Caenorhabditis elegans: one gene and its partner. The protein of the gene in region 2 purifies or fractionates together with the protein of the main gene of each other region. This does not show direct contact. Each region holds a gene or a part of one and is shown on either strand. Other genes may lie near its edges. The genes, in order: clp-8 and R05H10.3.

What was found.
Region 1: the proteins of R05H10.3 (region 2) and clp-8 fractionate together in Caenorhabditis elegans (co-fractionation; one large-scale study listed by BioGRID). This does not show direct contact.

The regions. Positions count from the first base shown.
Region 1 is NC_003279.8:13,252,190-13,258,301, reverse strand, and holds clp-8 (Calpain catalytic domain-containing protein), read right to left. Parts: upstream 4,162-6,112; coding exon 4,007-4,161; intron 3,961-4,006; coding exon 3,864-3,960; intron 3,090-3,863; coding exon 2,754-3,089; intron 2,202-2,753; coding exon 2,023-2,201; intron 1,980-2,022; coding exon 1,223-1,979; intron 1,177-1,222; coding exon 1,079-1,176; intron 1,030-1,078; coding exon 939-1,029; intron 863-938; coding exon 635-862; 3' UTR 573-634; downstream 1-572.
Region 2 is NC_003280.10:14,868,085-14,873,098, reverse strand, and holds the start of R05H10.3 (Dot/Icm T4SS effector), read right to left. Parts: upstream 3,156-5,014; 5' UTR 3,151-3,155; coding exon 3,039-3,150; intron 2,402-3,038; coding exon 2,292-2,401; intron 2,146-2,291; coding exon 1,995-2,145; intron 500-1,994; coding exon 184-499; intron 1-183. Other genes in the region: gpx-2 (Glutathione peroxidase), read right to left, coding at 4,071-4,407.

The DNA of each region.
Region 1 (6,112 bases), on a different chromosome or scaffold from region 2:
TCACTTTTGAGAAGTTTTTCAAATTTTTCATTGCATACACCAATTCATGATTTCATCGTCCTTTTTTTCTATGCTGAATTTTGTAACTTCTTCAATGTTCTTTTTTGTTTCACTTTTTTGAATACATAAATTTTGTTTCTGTTTAAGGGTTTAATCATAGAAGCTTGACAATTATCTAAAATTGTTTAGTTGGATGGGACCAAGAGTAGTTGCCGTTAAAAATGTTTATTTTTCATCTCGGGTACTTTTTTTGGTTTTTTTCTGAACATTTTTTAATAATAAGGTATGATTTTAATAGTAAACAACCATTTTCCTACGTTTTTATAATAATTTTAATTTAAAAAGTTGGATTATCATAGTAAAACTAACAGTTCTTTACGATTACCGGAAATATTATCAGCACAGCTTGGTATGAATAATGCTATATATACAATTCAACAAGATACAATACAGTGTGCTTCAAGAAGCTTTAACAAAAATTTAAAAACATCAAACTTAATTAATTGGTAGATCCACCATGACATCGAAATCCTGAAAAACCTTCAAATAAAACTATTGACCTTAGTGTAATTGGACTTCAATTGGACTTCATTTGACAGTGGGATACAAATTCGACATACAATGCGTAAGTTTATCAGTTCAATTTCGACAGTACTTCAATTTCCGGTATGAAATCATCCAATGAAATTATCTCCTCACGATGAACATATTCTAAGAAACGAGATGAAGATATTTCTGGAAGGTGGCATCCTCTTTTGATTCCATTGATTGTTGCATCAACATCTTTTGAAAGTTTATAATCAATGTCAATTGGGAAATCCACTATTTCAGGCATTGCTTCAAGATTTATCACAACCAAAACCTGAAAGAGTGTTTTTGATATGTCGTATGTGTTTATTTATAAGGCTTATCACTAGCCTAATATACTAAAAACTAGCCTGGTGCCTTCTTGGAGGAATTACATCAACTGTTTGCTTGTCTTCTAAACTTCTAGAGACAAATTGTTCATCAGTGATTGAGTAACGCAAACTGAAATAGGTGAAATAGTAGAACATAACTAAAAAAACATTAGACTCACTGAGCATGTAGAAACTGATCATATGTGAAGTTCCATGCAACTACTGCGATGAATGTGAAATTATTATCAGTGTACTTCTTAATGCTCATTTTATCCTTCTGAATATTAAAAAGGCTTATATATTGACTTCATTGTTTACAATACCTGCTCTTTCACAATTTCTTGCCCAAACTTATCCACTATATATTTTATATGTACGCTATCTTTCCTTGTTCTCGAAAACCCTTCATTGACCGAAATTGGTCGGGAAGAGTGAATTGAGATGTCTCGTTTGTCCAAGCTCCAGTCATTGAGATAAATGACTGTGATAGTGTATATACCAGGTTCTAAATCGATATCCTGAGTAGAATCGTTGATGATCTCACATGCAACTACTTTTTTATTATCAGAAAATATGCCGTTGATCTTGTGTACTGCAATCCAGCTATACCTCTGAACATATTTTGGCATTTGAAATTCGACAGTTTTTAAGAGTACCTCACGAGAAATCCAGTCGTCAACCGCCGAAATACAGACCATGCACTTTTCAGTGACTTTGATATCGATAGCCGGAAATGCGTCATCTTCTGGATATTTAAGAACCAGTTTGGCATAATAAGCAAACCAATTTGAACGATGACGACAAACATAAATGGAACAAAAAACATTTAAAAAATCATCCCACGAAATCCAGAAAGATCCTCGAATCATTCCTTCCAAGAGATCTTTCATATTCTCGGGCCACCATTCCCATTCCTTTGACCAATTTCGAGTCCAAACGCTGCCTCCACTTGGATTTCTGAGAAGAAGAAGTTTGTGCCCATCTCTTTCAACAATATCCATAATAGTATAGGCATGTTGTGGAAGTATTCCGTTGACTTCTCGGTTCAAGGTGCCACATGCCATCGGATATTGATTATTTCTGAATACATGGTACAATAATTTAGAAGTCTGAAAATTCAAACCTGAACTCCATCAGTGTCTTCCAGTATTTTCTAAGATTATTGAACATTTTGGCAACTGGAATGAGCAACACAGGTGATCCAGTAAGAGCAGAAAATGCAGACAAACTTTGAAATCCATGAATTCCTTTATAATTACCACATTCCTTAACAAGAGCTTTTTCAATAAGCGCTGCCCATATCTGAAAGTTAAGTTTACGCGTGTTCAATGAATCTATATTTTGACGATATCGTAGGTACTCGGAAAATTGCTGATCCTGAAGCGCGCTCTAGTCTCATCATATACAATATTGTTAGCGCTCCATCTGCGCCACGTCCGCACTCTAATCTCGGCAGTTTCCGGGAGCTTTCTAGTAGACTTCTCCACCTTTCAAAAAACATTTAGCAAACAGTGGAGAACGGCGAAGAAGTGCGGAGAAGTGCGCTATTGTTCTATCAATATTTTCTTTTTTGTTTTGATTTCTAAAGAGACCTGATTAAGAATGAACTTTATTAAGAGAAGGCAAGATATGCGCAAGAAAGGTGCCGTTGTTTGCCGAGATGGTGTCCTCTCCGTGCGCATACCGAATTTAAAAAATTCTTGCAAACTTTTGTATACGTGGAGAGGACGTGATAAGGGCGCTGGCGGGAAACGGAACGATCACGAATCATTAATCCAGTTACATCCCGTAAGCGTTCCAGGACCAGCGATTTACCGATTATCCAAATTATATTGATCCAAAAATTGTTAATACCTGATACCCAGAAGTAGCGCCAATTCTGATTCCATCTGTTGTATACGGAAAATAATCGTCAATGATGATAGTTTTCCATTGACCATCCACAAACAGTTTTACTTTATACACACCGTATTTCGATAGTTGCAGTGAATCAAAAATGTTCATGATAACTTCAGGCTTTGTGGAAATTGCAGACAAAGCAGCAACAAGACCACAATCTCCAACTTTTCTTTGAAACACCTCGTACGCGGTGAAAGTCAATGGATTATAAACTGACAAACTGGATGACACGTCGGTGGAAGGTGGTGTTATTCGACGCCAGATTTTCGGGAACAACCAAGTTTTCCAACTCTGAAAACTTTTAGCTATGCACATGTTTTTTGGTAATTCAGTTAATTGTTGTTTATTTTAGTAACTGGATAATATATAACCAAATATTATAATATGCATAATATAAATGAGCAGAAGGGTTATTTGAATAATATAATACATAAAATAAAATAGACCCGTAAGACTCCATTGAAAGAAAAATAAATCAAACAAAAGTAAATAATTATAATAGAACGAAATTTTAAAAGAACAAGATTTGTTGGTTTATAATGGGGTTAATCAAATAGTTTCGTTATATTGAAAAGTGTATTTCAATAAACTTTTTGCCTTATTCAAGAAACTTCAAAAACGTGCACTTAAATACAGTTTGTGACGTAATTTCGCGACATTTCTGGACGTTTCTCGACATTTTTTCACTGTTGTTTTATCAGAATTGATCTTCTGCAGCGAGTTTTGTGAATTTTCACATTTTGTGGACACCATCTTTCATTGGTGTGTCTTTCATTGAGTTGTCCACTTTCTGGTTGTTGGATAATGTCGAGAAAAGTCGGGAAATGTCACGAAATGGCGTCACAAACTGTTTTGAAATACTATTGTTTTGAACTGTACTTGAATGAGGGAAAATGTGTTTAAAATTACACTTTTTAATTTCACGACACTACTTGGATAACCCCATAACATATTTCAGGTTAATATGAGCGATTGACTTAATTTTTGATAATGTTGATCTCTTCAATTCTTTTTTTTCGATGATTCTTCCAAAATCAAGGGGTCTTACAGAACTTTTGAACATACCTCGTACTTCCCATATACCTTCGATTGCTCGTCAAAGGTCATATAAGACTTGGGCTCATGTGGAAACTCTTTATCGATGAATGCAGATTTGGATCTTCTGAAAACTGGCTTGTGTTTCTAAATGAAATTTGAAAAATTCTTACTGGCAATCTTCCAAAATGCTCTTAAACTTTTCATTCGCTTCTTTTTCATTCTCGTGATCACCGAGAAATATAGTCCAGTTCATGTTCGTACAATATTTATCCTCATTGTATTTCTCTATTAGCTCCAAAAGCTCCTCTTCCTGGGGCGAATTCATTCCGTTAAAAGTTTAGAAATGACAAAATACGGTTTTTTACGGAACATTCTTTTGTTTTGTCAAAATGTTTTTTAGAAAAAAAAAATGTATTCCACGTTTTTAATAAACTAAATTCTGACGAATGAATCAAAATTGTACGGCAAATACTAGTAATTTCATTAGGATAATACCACTTTTTGCAGCAAAATTCATATAAAAGTGTAAGAAAATTCTTGTACTTAATTTGTCAAAAAGTTAGAAAAATCCTCATTTTAGTGCCTGTCTTTGTTAAGCCTGTTAAAAAATAAGCATGATTTCAGACCTAACGTTTTCTATATTATTATTACTGAATTCAAACATTTCAGTTATCACAGTAAAATTAATATTTTTAGGCGTTTGCCGCATGGCCGTGCATGAATTTTGCTTGTTATGTATATTCAACCACCCCCCGGCTCAAGCAGTTACCGATTGAGCCAGGGAGGATGAGGAAATCCTTGTTTCGGAGTGGTTTCCGGCCCATGAGGTACTGAAAGGATTAACAAAAGACTCTTATTCTATTAATTCATTTATTACGAGTGATTCAAGGGAAAAGCCTTGAATCACTAACACTCAAACATTCATTTAAACGTGCCACCGTCGGGCACGTGCTGTGGTGGTGAAGCCCGATGCAGACTGCCGACGACTGACGATATAGGCCAATGTGCGCTGCGCCATGATGACAAGAGTACGGTCGCAGTCGTTGTTGTATGTGTCGTGGCGAGACCTCATGCGCCTTGAATCCTCCTTTTGGCGGTAGTTTGAATTGGGGTTTTGCCGTCGTCCTTTTACAGAGTAGCTGTCATTGATTGCACGGATGAAGTTGAGTATTGAAGAGCATGTGTTACGTAATAACGATGAATCAATCTTTACATTTAATCATTTGTTAATAAATCCTTAGATTTATTAATAAGTCGTGAGCGAGTGAATCTTTGTATTCACCGACTTCGCGACAATCCTAGGTCATCGGTGACTGTGACAAAAATGTTTGTTTGTTTGTTCTTGACCCTTTTTTTCCTTTTTTTTTGGGACGAAAAAATTCGCAAGAAAATTTTCCCGTGGTGAAGAGTTGAACTCTATTACAGTAAGCTCTTCCAAGGTCCCAACCAAAAATCACAAATTTGAGTAGTTGAACTGTAATTCTGAAAAATTTCTACTAAACCGATTTCACATATCAATAATCAATTTTCATTCGGAAGTGGGATACAAATTCGACAGAAAGTTCAATTTTGACAGTAATTGCTTGGAAGATCCAGAAAACAGTCAGCCACGGAAATTCGCTCCTCACGGTGAACTTGCTCTAAGAATCGAGATGAAGATATTTCTGGAAGATGACATCCTCTTTTGATTCCATTGATTGTTGAATCAACATCTTTTGAAAGTTTATAATCAATGTCAATTGGGAAATCCACAATCTCCGGCATTGCATATTGTTCGATTACTACCAAAATCTACAATTTCATCTACATGATGAATGTGATACTGAAAAAAAGTTACCTGAACACCCCTTGGAGGAATAACATCAACTGTTTGATTGTCTTCTAAACTTCTAGAGACCAATTGTTCATCGGTGATTGAGTAACGCAAACTGGAAAGGACAAAAGCACAACGTATATCTAAAATAAAAATTGGACTTACTGAACATGTAGAAACTGATCATATGCGAAGTTCCATGCAACTACAGCGATAAATGTGGAATTATTATCAGTGTACTTTTTAATGCTCATTTTATCCTTCTGAATATTAAAGAAGATTATATATTGTTTCACTGACTTTTTTTTAAACATTACCGGCTCTTTCACAATTTCCTGTCCAAACTTATCCACTACATATTTTATATGTTCACCATCTTCACTTGTTACCAAAAACCCTTCATTGACCGAAATTGGTCGGGAAGAGTGAATTGAGATATCTCGTTTGCCTATGGGCGAGTTGT
Region 2 (5,014 bases):
AAAACATAATTACGTTTAAAATCGAATTTCCAAATGAAAAAAAACCTCAAAACTAATGAAAAAATTGAGGTATAAAATTTTTTACTAAAAAAAAATTTGTTCACATTAATTTTAAATAAAATTTAGGTAACTTTTTAGCAACATTTAAAATTTTTGTTTTCTAAATTCCTGAAAATCCCTTACTCCTTCAACTTGACAAGAAGCTTCAGCGACCTCTCGCCTTGCCTCGGCGAATTTCTCAAACTCTCCACATAAGTGATACATTCCTCGGCTGCCAAATCCATAGCATATCTGCTGAGGATCTGTGTCGCCGCATCGGCAATACACGAAGATGGGCTCGCGCGGCTTCTTCTCGCGAATATTTCCACTGCTCCAGAGATGATAAGGAGCCGGCGAGCTTCTGTGGAAGGTACTTGACAGATGAAGTCAGAATATCGACGGCGGAGGAATACGGATGTGTGTTCCTGGTCAATCTCGTTGATAGCCCAGCGGATTACGGCTGAAATTAAAAAAAAACATTTTTTTTGTTTTTGGTTTTTTTTTGAATTTTTTGAGAATGAAAATTTTCGGCCGATCAAGAAATTGCCGGAATTGTAATTTCCGGCAAATCGGCAATATGCGGGAATTAAAAATTTCCGGCGAATCGGCAATATGCGGGAATTGAAATTTCCGGCAAATCAGCAAATCGGCAAAGTGCCGAAAGTGGGAATTTCCGGCAAATCAGCAAGTTGCTGGAATTGAAAATTTCCGGCAAACCGGCAAAATGCATGAATAGAAAATTTCCGGCAAATGGGCAATTCGCCGAAAACGAAAGTTTCCGGCAAATCGGCAAATTGCCGGAATTGGAAATTTCCGGCAAATCGGCAAATTGCCGGAATTGGAAATTTACGGCAAATCGGCAAATTGCTGAAATTGAAAATTTCCGGCAAATCGGCAAATTGCTGAAATTGAAAATTTCCGGCAAATCGGCAAATTGCTGAAATTGAAAATTTCCGGAAAATCGGCAAATTGCCGGAATTGGAAATTTACGGCAAATCGGCAAATTGCTGAAATTGAAAATTTCCGGCGAATCGGCAAATTGCTGAAATTACAAAATTTCCGACAAATCGGCAAATTGCCGGAGTTGGAAATTTCCGGCAAATCGGGAAGTTGCCGGAATTGAAAATTTCCGGCAAATATGCAGTTTGCCGGAATTAAAAATTTCCGGCAAATTGGCAACCTGCCGGAATTGCCCAAATTAAACATTTCCAACAAATCGGGAAATTGCCGGAGTTGAAAATTTCCGGCAAATCAGCAATATGCCGGAATTAAAAATTTCCGGCAAATCGGCAAAGTGCCGGAATTAAAAATTTCCGGCAAATCGGCAATTTACCGGAATTGAACGTTTCCCGCAAATCGGCAAATTAGCGGAATTGAGCATTTCTAGCAAATCGGAAAATTGGCGAATTGCCCGAATTGAAAATTTCCGGTAAATCAGCAAATTGCCGGAATTTGAAATTTCCGGCAAATCGGCAATTTCCCGAAAATGAAAATTTCCGGCAAGTCGGTAAATTGCCGGAATTGAAAAAAAGTTCCGGAAAATTGGCGAATTGCCCGAATTGAAAATTTCCGGCAAATCAGCAAATTGCCGGAATTTAAAATTTCCGGCAAATCGGCAAACTGCCAAATTGTCGATTTTGTCGACGCTCACAAATATCTGTTTCAGGTATTTGGCAAAAAAAGTTAATTTCAAATTAAGAATTTTAATTTTTCCGAATTATTAAGAATTATTAATATTTTCGGATATATTTTTTTTGTGCAAAAAAAAATCAATAATGTTGATATAATTAATTTTTTCCAGAATTCATGCAAAAATTGGCGGAAAATTTTAAATCTTGAATTTTTAGAAATTTTAAAAATTCGCACTAATTTCCTTAATTTCATTGAAACTTTCAAGGTTTCTGTAGCCAAATTCTTCATTTTTCCATCAATTTTCCTCAAAAATCGATTCTTACACAGCCATGCTTCAGGCTTTCGAATCGCAAAGACATCTGGATTGACATAGAGCTTGAAAAGATCATCCAGAAGCTTCAGTGGACGGGATTGGGGAAGAAGAGCTTCACTTCCTTGAATAAATTCGAGCACAAGGTCGTCGTCGTGTAATTTCTGGAATTTTTTTTTGAAAAATAAAAATTTTTTTTAGTTTTAGAGCTCGAAAATTGTGATTTTTGTGCAATTTTTTTGCATTTTTTTCGCGCCAAAATATTGTGATTTTCCCCGAACTTTTATAAATTCCATCCCGATTCCCTTACATGCTTGGTCATCGCCTCGTCGAGCAACCGAATGACCATCTGAATCGGAATGCATTTACTCTCGAAATCGATGCTCCGAACGAAATTCCGAACCACTGTGAGGCTTGTCTCTGCAAAAAATTGCCACTTTGCCGGAAATTTTCATTTTTGGCAAATTGCCGGTTTGTCGTTTGCCGGATATCAAAATGCAAAACACTGAGTTTTTTTTGTTGTAATTTTCCCGTTTTCTTTAAATATTTTCATATATCAAAAAAATGTGAAAAATCACAATTTGCCGGAAATTTTCATGTCCAACAATTTGCCGATTTGCCGGAAATTTTCAAGTCCAACAATTTGCCGATTTGCCGGAAATTTTCAATTCTGGCAATTGGTCAATTTGCCGGAAATTTTCAATTACTGCAATTCGCCGATTTGCCGAAAATTCTAAAGTCCGGCAATTGACCAATTTGCCGGAAATTTTCAATTACTGCAATTTGCCGATTTGCCGGAAATTTCCAACTCCGGCAATTTGCCGATTTGCCGAAATTTTCAATTTCAGCAATTCGCCGATTTGCCGGAAATTCTAAAGTCCGGCAATTGGCTAATTTGCCGGAAATTTTAAATTAATGCAATTCGCCGATTTGCCGGAAATTTTCAAGTCCAACAATTTGCCGATTTGCCGGAAAATTGTTTTTCTTTAAATTTGAGAAAAAAGTCCCATGCGCCTTTAAACTGAATTGCGCCAATATTCCAGGAATGTATAATAACCTTCAAACTGAATGCTATCGACGAGTTTATCGATTAGTGTGTCGTCAAATGAATGCGGGAGCTCATCGTACACGGAGCAAATCGAGACGAGCCGTTCTAGTAAAAGGTCCATTTTGTCTGAAATAATTATTGAAAAATCTTTTAAAAAATCGAATTTTATCGAGGAAAAGCTAATTTTTTTTCGATTTTATCTCACTAAATTCCAAAAAAAATTGATTTTTAAAAATCAGTGTAATCTCCAGTAAAATCCACGTGGAATTCCAGAAAAAAACCTCAAAAACTAGAGAAAAAAAAATTAAAAATCAGCAACAAAAAGTAGGAAACTCTGCGAAAATTGACAGCACAATGATGACAAGAAAAAGATGTTAAAATTTGAAAAAAAAACGTTTTTGCAAAAATTTTTTACTTTATTTTTGTGCAAAAATAGATATTTACAAAGCGAGAAGTGGGAAAAGCTAGAGTACTTAGAAATTAAATTAGGAACGGGGTTTTTGTGGAAAAAAATTAGGAGAAAATTGAGTGAAAATGAGGGAAAAAAATTGAAAATCTGGAAAATTCGATTTTTAGTGAAATTCTCGAAAAAAAAGCTTAGAAAACCGGAAAATTTAATTTTTCTGCAAATAAAAATCTGTAAAATTCGCAGATTTTTAGTGAAATTTTCGAAAAAAAAAAGCTGAGAAAACCGGAAAATTTAATTTTTCTGCAAAAAAATCTGTAAAATTCATAAATTTTTAGTGAAATTCTCGAAAAAAGTTCAAAAAAATCTGGGAAATTTGAATTTTTTTGTTGAAATTGTGAAAAATTTTGAATTCAGAAAAGTCGGAACAAAAACTCTGAGAAAATTCAAAAAATAAATAATTATTTGAATTTTTTTGGAAAAATTGGAAAAAATCTGAAATTTCATAGATTTTTAGCAAAATTGTTCAAATTTTTTCGAAAAAAATCCAAAAATTCATAGAAATTCCTAGATTTATCGAATTTTCCCAAGTTTTCACTCGATTTTTCTCCATTTTTTCAGCTCAAAAAAAATATTTAAAGTTTGGCTTGAAGTGCGGCCTCGATATCCTTCTTCATATCCTTCGGCTCAGTAGTCGGTGAGAATCTCTTGATAACGTGACCATCTCTGCCAACGAGGAATTTCGTGAAGTTCCACTTAATCGCGTCGACCAAAAATCCGCCCTTCTCCTGTTTCAAGAACTTGTACAGTGGAGCAGTGTTGTCTCCGTTTACGTCGATTTTTTGGAACAGGGTTGGCTCGAATTTGAATTTGTCGGCGACGAACGCGGCGATATCGATCTCGCATGATGGTTCCTGACCACCGAATTGATTGCACGGGAATGCGAGAACTTCGAGTCCGTCTTTTTTGTACCTTGAAAAAAAAGGAAATTTTAGGAAATTTCTAAAAAATTTGCTGTTGAAATATAAAAAAATTAATTTTGCAAAAAAAAGATGAATATGATTTTTTTTTGCTCATAAATCGAAAAAAAATTAAAGTTAAAATTTAGAAAAATCTTATAATTTTTTAAATTTTTGTAAAAGTTTATTTTTTATTTTTTTTTCACTCGAAAATCTTCTGATAAAAGTGTTTTTTGGTCAAAAAGTAAAAGACAGTGAAAAAATTTATGAAAGCTTTCTAATTTTTTTAATGATTTTTTTTTTTTAATTTAAAAAAAAAAATTACAAAACGGCTGAATTATTTATTTATTTTTGAATTCCCGCGCAAATGAGTGACGTCATTTTCGGGATTTTTGAGTTTTCCGGCTGTTTTAATGGGTTTTCTTCATTTTTTCGTTGTTTTATAATTTGAAACATTAATTGTAAATTTGCAACACATATTTTCCGTCAAGAAAATTTTTTTTGAGGAAGAATTGGCAAATTATGTTTTAAAATTTAAAAAAACGCAAAAATGTCGAAAAATATATAAAATTTAGAATTTTTTATTTAAAAAATTCTAAATTTTTTTCAAATTTCGAATT